Linked DNA regions of Caenorhabditis elegans. The protein of the gene in region 2 purifies or fractionates together with the protein of the main gene of each other region. This does not show direct contact. Each region holds a gene or a part of one and is shown on either strand. Other genes may lie near its edges. The genes, in order: B0280.9, glf-1 and ech-5.

Evidence for each region.
Region 1: the proteins of glf-1 (region 2) and B0280.9 fractionate together in Caenorhabditis elegans (co-fractionation; one large-scale study listed by BioGRID). This does not show direct contact.
Region 3: the proteins of glf-1 (region 2) and ech-5 fractionate together in Caenorhabditis elegans (co-fractionation; one large-scale study listed by BioGRID). This does not show direct contact.

The regions. Positions count from the first base shown.
Region 1 is NC_003281.10:7,120,687-7,125,775, reverse strand, and holds B0280.9 (U3 small nucleolar RNA-associated protein 18 homolog), read left to right. Parts: upstream 1-2,880; 5' UTR 2,881-2,884; coding exon 2,885-3,040; intron 3,041-3,145; coding exon 3,146-3,221; intron 3,222-3,267; coding exon 3,268-3,476; intron 3,477-3,524; coding exon 3,525-3,705; intron 3,706-3,756; coding exon 3,757-3,857; intron 3,858-3,914; coding exon 3,915-4,008; intron 4,009-4,055; coding exon 4,056-4,188; intron 4,189-4,426; coding exon 4,427-4,766; 3' UTR 4,767-4,871; downstream 4,872-5,089. Other genes in the region: B0280.2 (uncharacterized protein), read right to left, coding at 336-469, 515-606, 830-922, 1,009-1,089; rpia-1 (Probable-ribose 5-phosphate isomerase), read right to left, coding at 1,618-1,917, 2,042-2,284, 2,332-2,484, 2,532-2,591. UniProt on the Caenorhabditis elegans protein: Involved in nucleolar processing of pre-18S ribosomal RNA.
Region 2 is NC_003282.8:5,883,839-5,888,927, reverse strand, and holds the start of glf-1 (Amine oxidase domain-containing protein), read right to left. Parts: upstream 3,094-5,089; 5' UTR 3,093-3,093; coding exon 2,973-3,092; intron 2,895-2,972; exon of another isoform or gene 2,874-2,894; intron 2,613-2,873; exon of another isoform or gene 2,591-2,612; intron 2,387-2,590; coding exon 2,096-2,386; intron 1,399-2,095; coding exon 1,063-1,398; intron 967-1,062; coding exon 805-966; intron 769-804; exon of another isoform or gene 748-768; intron 662-747; exon of another isoform or gene 641-661; intron 580-640; coding exon 388-579; intron 377-387; exon of another isoform or gene 356-376; intron 284-355; coding exon 155-283; intron 142-154; exon of another isoform or gene 121-141; intron 1-120. Other genes in the region: H04M03.11 (uncharacterized protein), read left to right, coding at 4,399-4,405, 4,848-5,008.
Region 3 is NC_003282.8:794,538-799,626, reverse strand, and holds the start of ech-5 (Enoyl-CoA hydratase, mitochondrial), read right to left. Parts: upstream 2,605-5,089; 5' UTR 2,604-2,604; coding exon 2,483-2,603; intron 2,438-2,482; coding exon 2,370-2,437; intron 2,324-2,369; coding exon 2,153-2,323; intron 2,070-2,152; coding exon 1,973-2,069; intron 714-1,972; coding exon 307-713; 3' UTR 1-306. Other genes in the region: F56B3.11 (Mitochondrial import inner membrane translocase subunit Tim21), read left to right, coding at 3,065-3,120, 3,168-3,461, 3,518-3,809; skr-18 (Skp1-related protein), read left to right, coding at 4,221-4,264, 4,368-4,875.

The DNA.
Region 1 (5,089 bases), on a different chromosome or scaffold from region 2:
TGTATTTTCCCATTTATTAAAAATGTGAATATCATTTTCGAATAGTAAGCCTAAGAATCTATATATAAAAGTCACATTCAAAATCTAAAAAGATAAATTTTACAAATGTGGGGTTATCATACACAAGTACCGATTTAGGGTTCTATCTTGCATATATTAGAACTCAAGTTACCGTATTCTACCTATTTCTGTAATAAAAGCAAAGATAGACGGAAATATAAACATTACCCTATTATTATTGAACTCAAAAATTGATTTAAGAAATAGTATTGTACATAATAAAAATATGGAAAAAGCGATATTTTTCCAACTAGTTTAATAATCGAATTACTCACTTTGTCGTTTGCAAACACTATTGTGAAAGTTCTCACATTCCTTTGAGTCGTAAAAGTTCAATCCAATGTATCTGGATTCTGCCTCAAAAACGAGTAACCTTGCATGTTCCTGCATTGTTTCAAACTTTTTGTCTCTATAATCATAGTGTTAGTTGAAATTAAATTATATTCAAGATTACCTAATAAGAAAATCAAATTGAACTGTTGGTTCCCAATCTGGATCTGCAGATGGTTCCATTACTATTATCCGGTAATATCGTTCCGTACTGTTCTGAAAAATTGAATTAATCGTCTGTTGAGTTTGAGTATTTCTTTGCAAAACTAAATTGGATTTTGCAAACAATCCTACTGCGACTCACTTCGAAAAAAGTATACATTTCTCATTTTGAAATAATTAATCTAGATTAATTGTTTGTTCTTCTAGTAGTTTTCATATGATAACATCTTTGCAGCTTTCTACCACAGTTCATCTTTTTAAAATTTATCGTACTTACTTTCAAAAACAATGCCACAGCGGTTCCCCCATTCGGTATCCGCCAATGCCCATTTTCAGAAAAAAGAAGTTGACAAATACCTGATGAAAGTATCTGAAATGAGCACAAGCTAGTTGAATTGAAACTACATTTGTCTTTAAGCAGAGACCGTGCCTATCTCTTAGTGCACAAAATCATACCTTATCGCTTGCCGATATTCCTCTTAGAACACTATTTTTTTCGTTGATCTCGAGGAAATCACTCAATTCAGATGTAATCATTTGGAAATTAAAATTTGAACAATCTGGAATGAATAGAATACGAATGATACGATTTGACGAAAGTGCTTTTTAATACAGCAATTGTTAAAAATTTTGAAATATTTACTTATTTCCCAACTTTATCAGTATTTTTGAAATTATTGCTCGCTCTTAATTTTACCGCCTCCAATGAGTCATTTAGGAAGCAAATTCTCATTTCTTTCAATCTTTAAGCTATCCTCGCCATTCATACACTTCAAGACTACTGTAATTTGAAATTAAACAGTTTCAGACACTTTACATCCAGACACTTTACATTTCAAAACGTTTTCAGAGTTTTCTAATTTTTTTTTCAGTTTTTTAAGAAAGACGTTTTTTCAACACAATTTTTATTGGGGCTATTCTAAGAACTACACGTATACTAGGAACATTGGGAATGAATGGGTACAATTTTCACAACAACTGGGAAGAGGAAAAGTGAAGTTTGGAGAGTGTGGTGGTGATAAGAAACAACTAATTTTCAATATGAACAAAATTCGATGCAAGTAGTCAGTGCTTCTTGGAATTGACAATTTCCTTGACAGATCCGTCAGAGTACGCGAAGAATACTGCGTCGACGCAACCGATGAATAATCCGGTTTCAACAATTCCTGGTGTATTGGCCAATCGTTGCTGAATCGCGAACCAATCTCTTCCGGATACGTTTTTCTCGAACTGCCAATCAATAATGAAGTTTCCATTGTCTGTCACAATTGGTCCGCACTTTTTGACAGCTTGTCGAAGTTGACAGCTTCCACCTTCAGCGCGTGGAATCGAACGTAGAAGTGGTTGAGCAGCAAGAGGTAGAACCTGCAATAAATCTCATTAAAAACAGTCAACATAACTACATCTATTTAGAAAAAACTATTGTTCTAAAGTTTATTCTTTAGTGCATCTTTCTTTACTGATAATTATAAAAAGTTAAATAATTTACCTCAATTGGGACATTCGGATAGCGATCACCCAAGTGTTTGGAATCTTTTAAATAATCAGCGATCACGTAAAAGTTTTTTGCAGCGGTTTGAACAATTTTTTCTTGAGCCAGACATCCACCTCCGCCTTTGATGCACGTGAACTGTCCGTCAACTTCATCAGCTCCATCAATACACACATCCAGTTCTGGATGTGAATCCAAATCGGAGACAGGGAGACCAGACTCAATCAGCCATTGTTTTGTCTGAAATACTTATTTATAACAATTGGGTTTGTTGAAAATCTGTTTACCAAAAAACTGGTTGGAACACAGATGATATCCTTGAGACTTCCATTCTGAAATCCTTGTTTAAGATATTCTACCAAATACTTGACAGTGCTTCCGGATCCAACACCAAGACGGCAACCACTTTGCACATATTTTTCACCGCAGGCAAACGCAGCCTGAAATGATTAATGAGGGTTGGAATTGGTCTTAATTTTTGACTTACTCGTTTCTTCGCCTGCTCAATAGGAGCCAGTTCTGCTTCAGGGCCGGTGGAGGTGACCATTCTGGCGGTTCGCAATACTCCTGATAATGGAAATTTTGTAGAAAACATACAAAAATGCTGAAAAGAAAACGAAAACAATAGTAAATTGATAAGAAAGACTGAAATTTTCAGCTGAAATACTGAAATTAATGAAATTCTGCATTGAGACGTGACGGTGTTTGCACTAAAACTACGATAACACACACTATTTGACGACAATTGCTTCTCATTTTTCTTTTTTCTTTTCCGAATTTTCTTTAATTTTCAGCTTATTGAATCTTTCATTAAGGTTATTTTGAACAATTTTCAGAGAAATGAGCAAACGGCCAGTGATTGAGTCTGAAAAGCCTGCGTGGCACGATGAGGACGACGATAATATGGTTGTGGCGGTTCCAAAAAAAGTGAAAATGACAATGCGAGTTGAACTCAAGCGAACCACAGACGAAGAACATGGAGAATTGGATTCAAAGGTAAATTTTTTTTAGAAATACGTTATTCAACGTGTAATAAAGATTATATAATTGAAAATAGGCAGAAGGATAAATTACTTCTGAAAAATAATTTTAATATTTTAGGAATACGTTGGTAGATTGCAAGAGGCGTTCAGAAAACGCCACGGAGGCACACCAAAATGGGCTAAGGCTGCTGCAGGTTTTTGGAAAATCAATAGTTCAAAAATCGTATTTTACAATTTTAGGAGACGAAGAAGAAGGGTCATTGTTGAAAACTGCTGCCGGATATTTGGCGAAAGACGTGAATTTACCAAAAACAACTATTCATACAACTCTTATAAAAGATTTCAACATCGGACACCGATACACTCGTGGAATCACTGTTGTTAAATTTCATAAAACCCGACCAGTGCTCATTGTTGCCGATCAAGGTGGAAATGTTCAACTTTTTAAAGTAAGTTGTGTTTTCTGTTTTAATTAAACCATTCCTTACTTATTTCAGGTAAGTCGTGAGGTTAAAAAGGATCGTTTCCTTCAAAGTGCGAATTTCTCAAAATTCCCGATTGATAGTCTGGAAATTGCTGATAAAGGACACTCTGTGATCTGTTCTTCAAGCCGAAAGGAATATTTGATGCAGTACAATATGGAAACAAGAGAAGTGACACAGTTGAAACCTCCAAACAGTACGTTTAATATTTAATAAAATTTGAAGCAAAACTTTGAACATTTTACAGCAGTACCAAAGCAAGGAATTCGGCTCTTTGCCATTTCGCATGACTCTCAATTTTTGGCAATTGCAGGACACAATTCTCACATCTATGTTCTCCATGCTACTGTATGTCAAAAAATTAAATTATTGGCAAATTAAAAGTTTAAATGTAAAATGTTTCAGTCGATGGAGCATATCACAACAATATCACTCCCAGCAAATGCGTCAGAAATCAAGTTTTTCCCATCGCACAGCCGTGAAATTTGGATCATCTGCGGTTGGTTTTATATTGCCAAAAATTCAAAAATTATTCGAAATTTCTAGAGACCGGCCAAATTGTGATCGCAAACATTGGATTGCCGGGAACCAAATCATCGCAACATACATTCACCGACGATGGAGCTGTGCACGGAACAACACTCGCCATCAGCCAACATGGAGATTACTTTGCGACTGGGTAAGCTTTTTTAAAATCAAACTTTTATAATTCGTAAAATCACGATACTGTCATTCATTCATATAATTCATATATTAATATAATTGTACAGTTTGCTACATCTTTTTTTTTGTTGATATTTTCAGTTTAGCAACAAAAATTTAAAAAAAAAAATCTTTTTTTGTTGAATTCCGGTGAAAATAAATGACCTAGTCTTTACATACATCCTGATTATATGATGAAAATTTGAAATTTCCAGAAGTGATACCGGAATCGTGAATGTCTATTCTGGAAATGATTGCCGCAATTCTACAAATCCTCGTCCACTTTTCAATGTTTCTAATCTCGTCACCGCGGTCTCATCAATCGCTTTCAATTCTGATGCTCAATTGATGGCAATTTGTTCAAATGTCAAGGACAATCATCTTCGTCTCGTCCACGTGGCAAGTCAGACAACATTCAAAAACTTCCCGGAAAGAAACGGAAAAGTGACACATGCAAGATGTGTGGAGTTTTCTCCAAATGGAGGATATATGGCCGTTGGAAACGATGATGGACGTCTTCATGTTTTTGAAATTCATCATTTTACAGACTATTAATTGGTTCTAACATTGTTATTCTTTTCTTTGTCGTTGATTTCGTCCAAATTGTTTTGTTTTTATTCTTCATCCGTTTTTTTGTTGTTATGAAAATTTATCGTTTTTATTCCAACTTCCAGAGCAGCTTTTGAACCACTGGAAGATTTAAAAATACAAACCGACGTTTGCACAAAAAATTCAAAAACAGTTGAACGTAGTCCTAGTCTGTACCGAAAAATGACTTGATCGTTCTTTGTACACTATAGTGACATAGAATTGTCTCAATAGTCGCCAGTTAGAAAAGGGTTGAACAACACAACGAACGATCGAAAATGACGAAAAAT
Region 2 (5,089 bases):
AAAACCTAAATGTTTTGAAATTTTAATTTGTTTCTTAAAGCACTTTTGAATAACCCCATAAAAACAAATTGCTACTGTTTCACATTACTCTTGAAACTCAATTAAAGTGTGGTAATTTAATACGATCCATACGATGTTCATTGAAATTACTTACATTTGGAGTTGGAATTGGGTATCCATATGGCAAAGTAATGGAATAAACCGACTCAATAGCCTCACGAGTGATCATATCCTTGATGACAAGTCCATCAAGTGTCTTCTTGACCATCTCTTCCTCGGTGATCTATAAAACTAATTCATTTTAATTTGCTGTTCCACATTTTTTAGATCAGAATGAAAATTTGTTCGAATTTAATGAACTGTATTGATAAAAATTACAATACTAACCGGATCATCGATTGGCCGAGCACACTCGCACATGACAGACCAATACTTATCACCATCTGGAGTCACTTCTCCGTATCTGCTGAGAATTGTGACACGGAAGAATGGAACTTCACGATCTGGGAAGTAGAGCCATGTGAATTTCTCGAGGAATGAGGTCATTGGCTTGCGGAGTCCAACTCCCACAATGAACACCTGGAAATTGTTTTCACTGTTTCATCGAACTAATAAATAACATGTTGTTCTTTCGGAACATCGTGTTGAATGCTTGAGATGAAAATAAATAAATGTTCTTTTGTCTCAAAATGTTATTTTTGCATTTTCACATTGCTGTTAAATACATTTTAAAGGACCAATCCAAGTTTGATCAACCCAACTGCTAATTCTGATTTTCTTTACAAAACTCTAAAAAATCCAAACCTTATTATGAACAATATCCAATGGAGCAGTGATTTGTGTGTTGTTCACAAGTTGATCAATTGGAGCAGTGTTAAGAAGAACATCATATGACATCTTGGTTGGCTCGGTTTGTCCCTTTTCAAGAATCTCAACGGTCTTCTCCTTGTGATCGACTCCGGTGACCTGGAAATGGATTTTTTATAGTTTAAATGCACGGTCCAGCAAATAAACTAAAACTCAAAGAAAATTCACTTCACGCAAAAAACAGTATACGCTTACCTTATTGTTGAACTTGAACCACTCATTTGGCAACTTCTTTGCCATCGAATTCCAAACATTTCCAGTTCCTCCATAAGTTGGGAAAGTGAAATAGGAATTTGGTCCCCATCCAAAATCAGCATTAGCCAACTCTGCTTGATCCATTGAGCAAAGCTCCTCGAGCTTCTCCTGTGGAAGCTTAGCAACACGAGATCCAACCCAATTTGGAGACATTTTTAATGGCTCAACAGTCCATACTTTCTTAGTGTATGGTTTGAAGAAAGTGTTAAGAATTGTTGGTCCAAAGTGTTGGAGAACCCATTCTTCAAAGTTGTCTGGGGTAGTTCCGTCTTGTGGCTGTAAAATAAGTTTGAATGTTTTTTTTTAGCCAGCATGACTGGGTGGTTAAGTCTAGTCCGAAACTGTATTAAAACTGCAGATTTTAGGTAACTTTCTAATGCTATTTTCTGAAATTCCGTGAAAGTTGGATTGAAGACGGTAAGTGGGAGAATTATCAGTTTTCCGGCTACTAATTCACAAACTACATAATATTTGTGATCATTCGCAAAAATCGGTTTTCATACAACATATTCAAATTTTATTCTCCCAAATAAATCTCAAGAGAATTTTTCAAAAAAGTAGAGAAAAACTTTCAATAACCGTATAAAAATCAAGTTCGAAAATGCTTTGAAATTTCATTTGCCGTTCAGCTAATTGGTGTTCTAGAATGTTATTTTTGCGCGGGAATTTGAATTTCAATCAGTTCCGCTTATTTTGAGCTGAATTATCTCTTTACATATTTGTTCTTTTTTTTTAATGTTTGTTTAGAGATTCCTACTGGGAGTTTCAGTAATTTCCCCACACCAACTACACCCTCTTTAAAAAATACTGTTTCCGAGTATTGATAAATTACAATCATGTACTTCCAATTATTATTTAAAGTTTGAATTTCAACAAAATGAAATCTTTTAATTCAGATAAAACTAATATCCGTTATCCACAAAGAAGATATTGATCTAATGAAGTTTTAGCTTCCCTTTCTCTTTTCACTTACATTCTCATATCTCTCCTTCAAATCAGCAAGACAACGGTTCTTAACTTCATCCGGGAACAATGGAACAGCGAATTGAGCTGGATATGGTACCAAATGGATTCCTTTCTTGTCATACAAATAATTCATATCAACCATACAGTTTCTTGCCAACTTATTCCAGTCATCAACAGCCCATTGAGTAGCCTTCTCGTAGTATGGGTAGTTGTGATTGAAAGTGATATGACCTCCCATATCCCAGAGGAAACCTTTCTCATCGGTTACAGTGCAGGAGAGTCCTCCAGCAATGGCCTCCTGAAACATTATTTTTAGAATCAATACAAAAATTGAGCTATTTTTTTTTATTTATTTTAACATCCTCGAAATTTTGGCTGATTGTGAGGTAGAAATATTTACTGTTTCCAAATATACATTTTTCAGATTCCTTTTTTTATTTCATTAACGGCACAATTTCCGTAAAACATTATTTTGATATCCTTGAGAACAGTTAAAATTATCTTTCAAAGGCAAGAAAAAAAAATGAAAACGAGATTTTAGTCTGTTAGTCAAATACTAAACGAGAAACAGTTAAAATTTTTGATTTTCAGTAATCGTCTCCATTATTATACCGGTAGCAGTTCGCGTCACGTCACATTTTCCCCATATCTCGCCCGATAGATCTCAAAGTTTGTTACCAAAAATTGTACAAAAGGCTTCTGGAAGGGAGCTAAGAGTAAGAAGGAGGAGACAAAACATCATTTCACGCTTTGACCGGGGAAAATGAAAATAAAAACAGTGCGCAAAAAGTGGAAAACAATAATGATTGAAGAACGAATTATTAAATTATGTAATATGTAAAACGTGAAACCGCAAATTTTAGTCTTCAAAAATGCACACAAACCTGTTCAAGAAGAACAATTTCAGCGTTTTGAGCAGCCTCGTTTCCCTCGTTTTTGAGCTCATTGAGCCGGTAGGCAGCTCCGAGAGCCGTTGGTGCAGCACCAATGCAAACGATCTTCATTCTGAAGAACAATTAAATGATTTTGTAACATATTGTAACTGTAAATCAAATGAGAGAAGAAAGCGAATAAAGAAGCCAAGAGAACACGGAGAATCTCGTTTCTAAACAATGAGCGAGGAAAAGAGAAAATGCATGGAGAAGGAAAAGGATTGGATTTTGACCCAGATCCTTGAGAAGAATGAGAGATCGTAAATTGTTGATAAGTGAGAGGAAGATATTCACCCCCTTCAATGCCTATCGGTGTATTAATTGCTTCTAGTGAAAATTAATAAAGGCGGAATCAATAGATATTCAAGAGTGCCAGAGAACCTGTCCTTTTGTACTTTTCCCCACCTTCTCAGACTCTCAAAGATCCACCACTGACTCCGCCCAATTCGTGTTGTTGATCTGATTATCTGTTAGAAAGGGCAAAAATTGTTAGACAGCCGATATTGCAGATCAAAATTTGAGATTGCGGAGCTGCTTCCCTTTTTAAATGATATTTATCTCTTGCTTAGAAGTTTTTATCCGATTCTGGATACGGAATTTGGAACGGGATTTTGAAGTCGATGATCTGCAAATGAGATAAACGCGGGAGGTTGGGGCGCTCGACAATTTTTTCTATCCAAATAATACACTGAGAATCTTTTGACGTCATGCAAAGAATTTTGAGAGTCTAAAGAATCCAAAAGTCCGATCAACAATCGTTGGATATTTCCGGTTATTATAGGAAATTAGACTGAAATATCTGCTTCGAATTATAGTTGAATGTCTGAAAAGTTATGCAATGAATCCTTCAAATTGGTCTCGCAGTGGTAACAATTTTTAAAATAGTAATTAATTTTTATGTGTATATCGCTTAAAAACTTACGGTTTCACGATACCACAGAAGGTGTTGGGTATAACTTTTTACGATCAGTCTATGAGTGTATGTAGTCTAGTCATTGATGCTTTAATGATAAATAACTTAAAGTTGATATATTTGTTTCAAAATTTAAAATGGGCTTAAAAGTAGAAATGAAAAAAAAAACCGATTTTTTCACTGAATGACATGCGATTTTTTTCCATAAGATATCCTTAAAAAATAATTGTGACATCACACCTTGAAAATATTTGGTTGGCACTTGTAACAGAGAACTTACCAAAAATAATACATGCTCTCTAACTCCTAACTGTTACAATTCTAATTTTCTTAAAACTATTATTTACGTGGACTTTCCTGAATTTTTAAAACAATCTGAACGTAGATTTTTTAAGACAAAACTTCCACGTTTCCTGTCATTCTAATTATTTCTTATCACTCAACTTTGAGATTAAACTTCGAAAAATGAGACGTAAGTAAAATGAAAATTGTGCTTCCGAATAGGGCTGTGCGGCTGATGACTCGGCTGATGAAGACAATCAAGTTTTTCAACGTGTTAGCACTGATCAATTAAAGAATATTTGTATTTGCAGTATTGGCTGAGTCATGAGCTTCTTATTCTAGAAAAACGTTTTTTTTTAAGTGCACACACCTTGACAAAACAGTCGGCTTTTTGAATCAGCCGAGTAACTCGGCTGTCGGCTGTAGGCTGATTGGAAAAACGAGTTTTTCTGGAAGGGGTGTGCACTTTTTAAAAAACTTTTTTCTAGAATTAGAAGCTCAAGACTCAGCCGATATGGCAAATACAAGTATTCCCTAATTGATCATTGCTAATACGTTGAAAAACGTTGATTTGCTCCATCAGCCGAGTCATCAGCCGCACAGCCCTACTTCCGAAAACCCCAGATTTTCAGATTTATTAAACACAAGGACATATTTTTCAATTACAATTTTATTTTTAATTACAATCACAGTTTTGCAATCTGAATCGGCTTTTTCAACGATGGCTAAGAAATCCACGGAAACTGCCACGTTTCCGTCAATTGAACCGTTTAGCGATTTCGATACTTGTCAGGTATATTGTGGGGATGTGTTCTGATGATATGAAGAAGGATGATAATCTGAAATAAAAAATATTAAAACTAAATGGGCATTA
Region 3 (5,089 bases), 5.1 Mb from region 2:
ACTCCGAAATCTCTTGAAAAATCAAGTTTCACACAGTTTTTGAATTTTTTTTTCACAAATTTTCATCAAAATGTGTTCAAAATATTTCTGAAAAGTCGATTTTTAAATCAAAAATCGCAGAAAATTTGTGAAAAATTCAAGTTTTTCGAGAATTACGATTTTTCACTAATTTTTTTTTCTGAATTTCGGGCCGAAATTGCCAGAAATCCAAAAATCCAAGAAAATTCAATTTTCACTCGTTTTTCGTCGAATTTTCGCGATTTTTCACTCAATGTCCCGCCGAATTTCTCCCTTTTCTCCCAAAATTTATTCGCCCTTATAAATAGGATCTCTCTTCTCAGCAAAAGCCGCCATTCCCTCTAATCGATCTTTTGAATGTACAATTTGTGCATAACATTGTTGCTCAACACTCAAAGCACTGGTAATATCAGTCTGAGAGCCCAAATTAATTGCCAATTTGGCCAATTTCACAGCAATCGGGCCTCTTGGAATGATTTTTCGTGCGATTTCCAGTGATTTTTCGATTGGATTGGCTTCAACGACGTGATTAACGACTCCAAGCTTGGCAGCATCGGCTCCGTTGAGCACTTCAGCTGTGTAGATGAGCTCTTTGGCTTTTGCGACTCCGACAATACGGTAGAGACGTTGAGAACCTCCGGCGCCGGGAATTAGAGCCCATTTTGTTTCGACTAGGCCCATTTTGGCTTTTTGAGCTGAAAAAATGGATAAATTTAGAGCAAAACTTAGGTTTTTTTACTCAACATGAAGATTTTTTGAAATTTTTGCCTGAAAAAAAGGATTTCTAAGTCAAAAAATGGAAAATTTCACGATTTTTGAGCTGAAAAATTAAAATTTTCGTATTTTTTGTGTTGAAAAAATGCAATTTTCTATGAAACGAAAATGAGTTTTTTACTCAAAATAGACCCATTTTGGCTTTTTGAGCTGGAAAAAATGGGAAAATTGGAGCAAAACTTTGGTTTTTTGACTCAAAATGGAGATTTTCAAGTATTTTTTACTTAAAAATTGGATTTTTAAGTCAAAAAATGGCAATTTTCACGATTTTTGTGATGAAAAACCGAAATTTTCGTAGTTTTTGGGAAAAAAGGTAAATTTCTATGAAAAGCTAAAACTAAAAAATTCGAATTTTTACGTTTTTTAACATGAAAATTAGGGCAAAAATGAGTTTTTCACTCAATATAGACTTATTTTGGCTTTTTGTGCTGAAAAAATGGGAAAATTAATGCAAAATCGAAGAAAAATAAGTTTTGAGCTGAAAAATCCTAATTTTTACGTTTTTTACATGAAAATTAGAGCATTTTGCGCAAAAAATGCAGGTTTTTAGGCATTTTTGCGCAAAAATTGAGAAATGAGAGAAAAAAGAGTTTTTTACTTAAAAATAATTGAAAGTTTTAGATTCTTATGCTTTTTTTTTGCTGAAAATGGAGTCAAAATGGTTCAAATTTTTCAGATTTTTAGGCTAAAAATTGGGAATTTTCGGAATAAAATTCTTTTTTTTTTGTCTTTTGCGCTGAAAAAATGGGGAAATTAATGCAAAACTGAAAAAAAAAGTTTCGAGCTGAAAAGTTTTACGCTTTTTCTACATGAAAATTAAGTTTTTCGGCATTTTTTGGTTGAAAATTGGATTTTCCAGCAGAAAAAATGGGAAAATTAGAGCAAAAATGAGGTTCTTTGACCCAAATTGGTGGAAATTTTGAGATTTTTGCTGAGTTGTTGAGCATTTTCTGCTGAAAAGGATCTTTTAAGAAGCTTTTAAGAGCATTTTTGCCGAAAATAGAAGTTTCACGTTAAAACTTGTAATTTTTGAATTAAAATTGAATTTTTAGACAAAATTTGGCATTTTACAAGTGGAAAAGTCAGGAAATTACGTATTTTCTCGAATTTTGAACTAAATTTGACGTTTTCAAAAATTTTTTTTTTTAGTGTTTCCCCAGGGAAAATTATTTTCACTAACAAGCAACACGAATATCACAAGCCAGTGCCAACTCCAATCCACCTCCCAGTGCAAATCCGTCGATTGCGGCGATAACTGGCTGTGGAAGGCGTTCTACCTGAAAATTTCGACGTTTTCAGGGGAAAAAACCGCAAATTTCTCGATTTTTTGACTGAAAATCGATTAATTCAAGTTATTTACATCAGTAAACGAGTCACGGAGCCCATTGACAAATCTGGTGGCCTCCTGCTGGCTCATAGTCTTGCGTTCTTTCAAATCCGCACCACTACAGAACACATTATCGCATTTCGAGTTGAGAATCACCACACGTGTCTTTGGATCGTACTTGAGCTCGTCGAGCACCTCACGGAACTGGAAATGTAATTTTTTGCGGCAAAACTCTGCGAAAACTGCCTACCTGGTCCATAAAAACTCGTCCCAAGGAGTTTTTCTTCGCCGGACGGTTCATGTTGAGAATTGTGATTCCTGGAAGCAAAATTTTTAATAAAAATTATCAAAAAGGCTGCGCACCTTCATCTTTTCCAGTCAATCTTTCGATGAAAACCTCGTTAGCCGGGTTTGTGGTGGTGCTGTAGGCCAGTGGGTGAAAGGCGAAGGCACGGAGGTTGAGAAGAATCTTTTGAGACAACATTCTGCAAAAAAATCATTAAAAAAATTGTGAAAATTCGACAAGAAATAGTGGAAAAATGGTTAAAAACGCGCAAAAATTCATTAAATAAATGTTTGTCCGAGAGGAGTATGTGTAGATAGAGCGCGTTTGCATTACGATGCAAAAAATTTTATTAGAAAGAAATCTGCGAGATTTTCCAAGATGATTTCAGTAAAATTTTGTTTAAAATGTGGATTTAAATCAATTTATCAAAATAAAATTTAATATAAAAATAGGCGACTTGGAAATACTTTTATTTTCACTTCTAAGCTGCAGGAAAAACTATAGACTTGCATTCTCCAATTTTCAGTTTCCCTGGCATTCTGTGGTGTCTCTTTGGAATATTTCCTATTTTTAAAATTATTTTTTTCTCAAAATCAGTTTTTTTCCGTTTTTCTTAATTTTTCCTTTAAATTTTTTCAAATTTTTTGACTTTTCAGGTAATGACACCGCTCAGCAAACTTTGTGCAGGTGCAGTCACGCAAAATGTGCTGAAAAGGTAACTTTTCGGCAATTTTTAGAGAAAAATAATGAAAAATCTTCCAGCTACTTCCTAACACCATCCCAATTTCGCAGCTTCTCCCGAACGATCACAGCACTTGAAAAATCACAGAAATCACCCTCAAAACAGGAACATGCGCTCCAGAGATCGATTTTGGAGGAAGTTTTGGTGCATGAGAAGGCGAAACCGACGACATTTGGCGGAAAAGTCGCTGAAAAGGCGTCGAACACGTTTATGTACACGGCAGTTGTCGCTGGAATCGGTCTAATTGGTGCATTTATCTATGTGCTCGCCGGGGAATTTTTCGCTCAAGATTCCCCGCAGACAATTTTCAATAAGTTGGTTTTTCACTTTTTTCCGGGAAAAACCAATTTAAATCAAATATTTTTTGCAGAGCTCTCGCATTGGTACGTGATGATGGCCGTTGTCAGGAAATATTCGGCGCCTCAATCGCCGGATTCGGCGAGGAAACGTCACGTGGACGCCGCCGCCACGTGGCACATCACAAGTACGAGAAGGACGGAATGCAGCGGATTCGGGTGCTTTTCCACGTGAAAGGAGACCGAGATGAGGGAATTGCTCAAGCTGAAATGGAGCAACGAGACGGAGATTGGCAGTGGCGGTTCTTGTATGTGGAGAACAAGCGGCGACCGAAAACTACCCATGTTTTGATTGATAATCGATAATTTCTTGTTTTCTGGTGATTGTTATGTTTAAATAGGGTTTTTTGTTGAATAAATTGCATCTAGATTTATTATTTTGTTAAAAAAAATAGCTTAAACATCGATTTTTATTCGAAAATTACTTTTTTTTCAAAAAAAATCTGGAAAGTGTGCAATCTGACGTGATGGTGTGTCTGCGTACCCGGCGCCAAACTTGACGCACAAACTTTCGAAATATTTTTTTTTTCGATTTTAAAAACGTTTTTAGCGAAAAAGCGATAAAAACAGGATTTCTTAAGCAATTTTCGGGAAATTTACCAATTTTGATTGCTGAAATATCGATTTTCAATCGAAAATTTTCGAATTTTCACACAAAAACTTTAAAAAAACCTATATTTTGTGTATTTCAGACATCAAATTTGGGCCAGAAAGCAGATGCCGAAGAACAAGAAAAACAATAAAAAACGTGCACCAGCCAGGTATTTTGATAGCATTTTTCCCAATTTTCATTGAAAAATCATTAAAAATTTTTTATTTTTCAGCAATTTTTTCTCAAAAAATCAGAAATCGCGCTTTTTTTAGTGCTCCAAAGCCGGCTCCTCCAAGCGCACCACCTCGCCTACTTCAACTGGCTTCTTCCAATGGAGAGGTGCTGCAGGCAGATATCCGTGCTCTCCAGCTCTCCAGCACTATTTCTACAACTATCAAAGAGCTAGGATATGATAAAGAAGACTGTGCGGAGATTAAGCCGATACCTGTTGATGAACATGAATACACATTGGATCTACTGATTAAATGGTGTGATCAACACAAGGGAGACGATCCAGAGATTGCAAAAGCCGAAAAAGGCAAAAAGAAAGTCGTCATTCCGTCCTGGGATCAACATTTTTTCAGTGTACTGCCGATGGGAAACTTGCTAGCTGTTATTAAAGCTGCCTATGATTTGGATATTACCGGACTCGTGAATTATGGAACCCAAACAGTCGCCAGTCGTATCAATGGGAAAAGCGCCGAGGAAATGCGAGAAATTTTCCAACTTCCTGAGCCGTGCCAGCAGCCGTCTACATCCACTGATACTTGGGCAGATTGATCGATTTTCCATTTCAAATTTATTCAATTTCACATAAAGCCGGTCTTATTGCAAAAGATTTTTTTCTATTTAGTGCTGTATATCGTTAAAATTTCATTGCGTCAATAAAAGTTCTATTTTAAAATATTCTTCAGCTCATACTAAGTCCGATCCAGTGTTTCGGTGTTATTTTTGAATTTTTTTTTATCGAAAAATCGTTGAGATTTAGATTTTC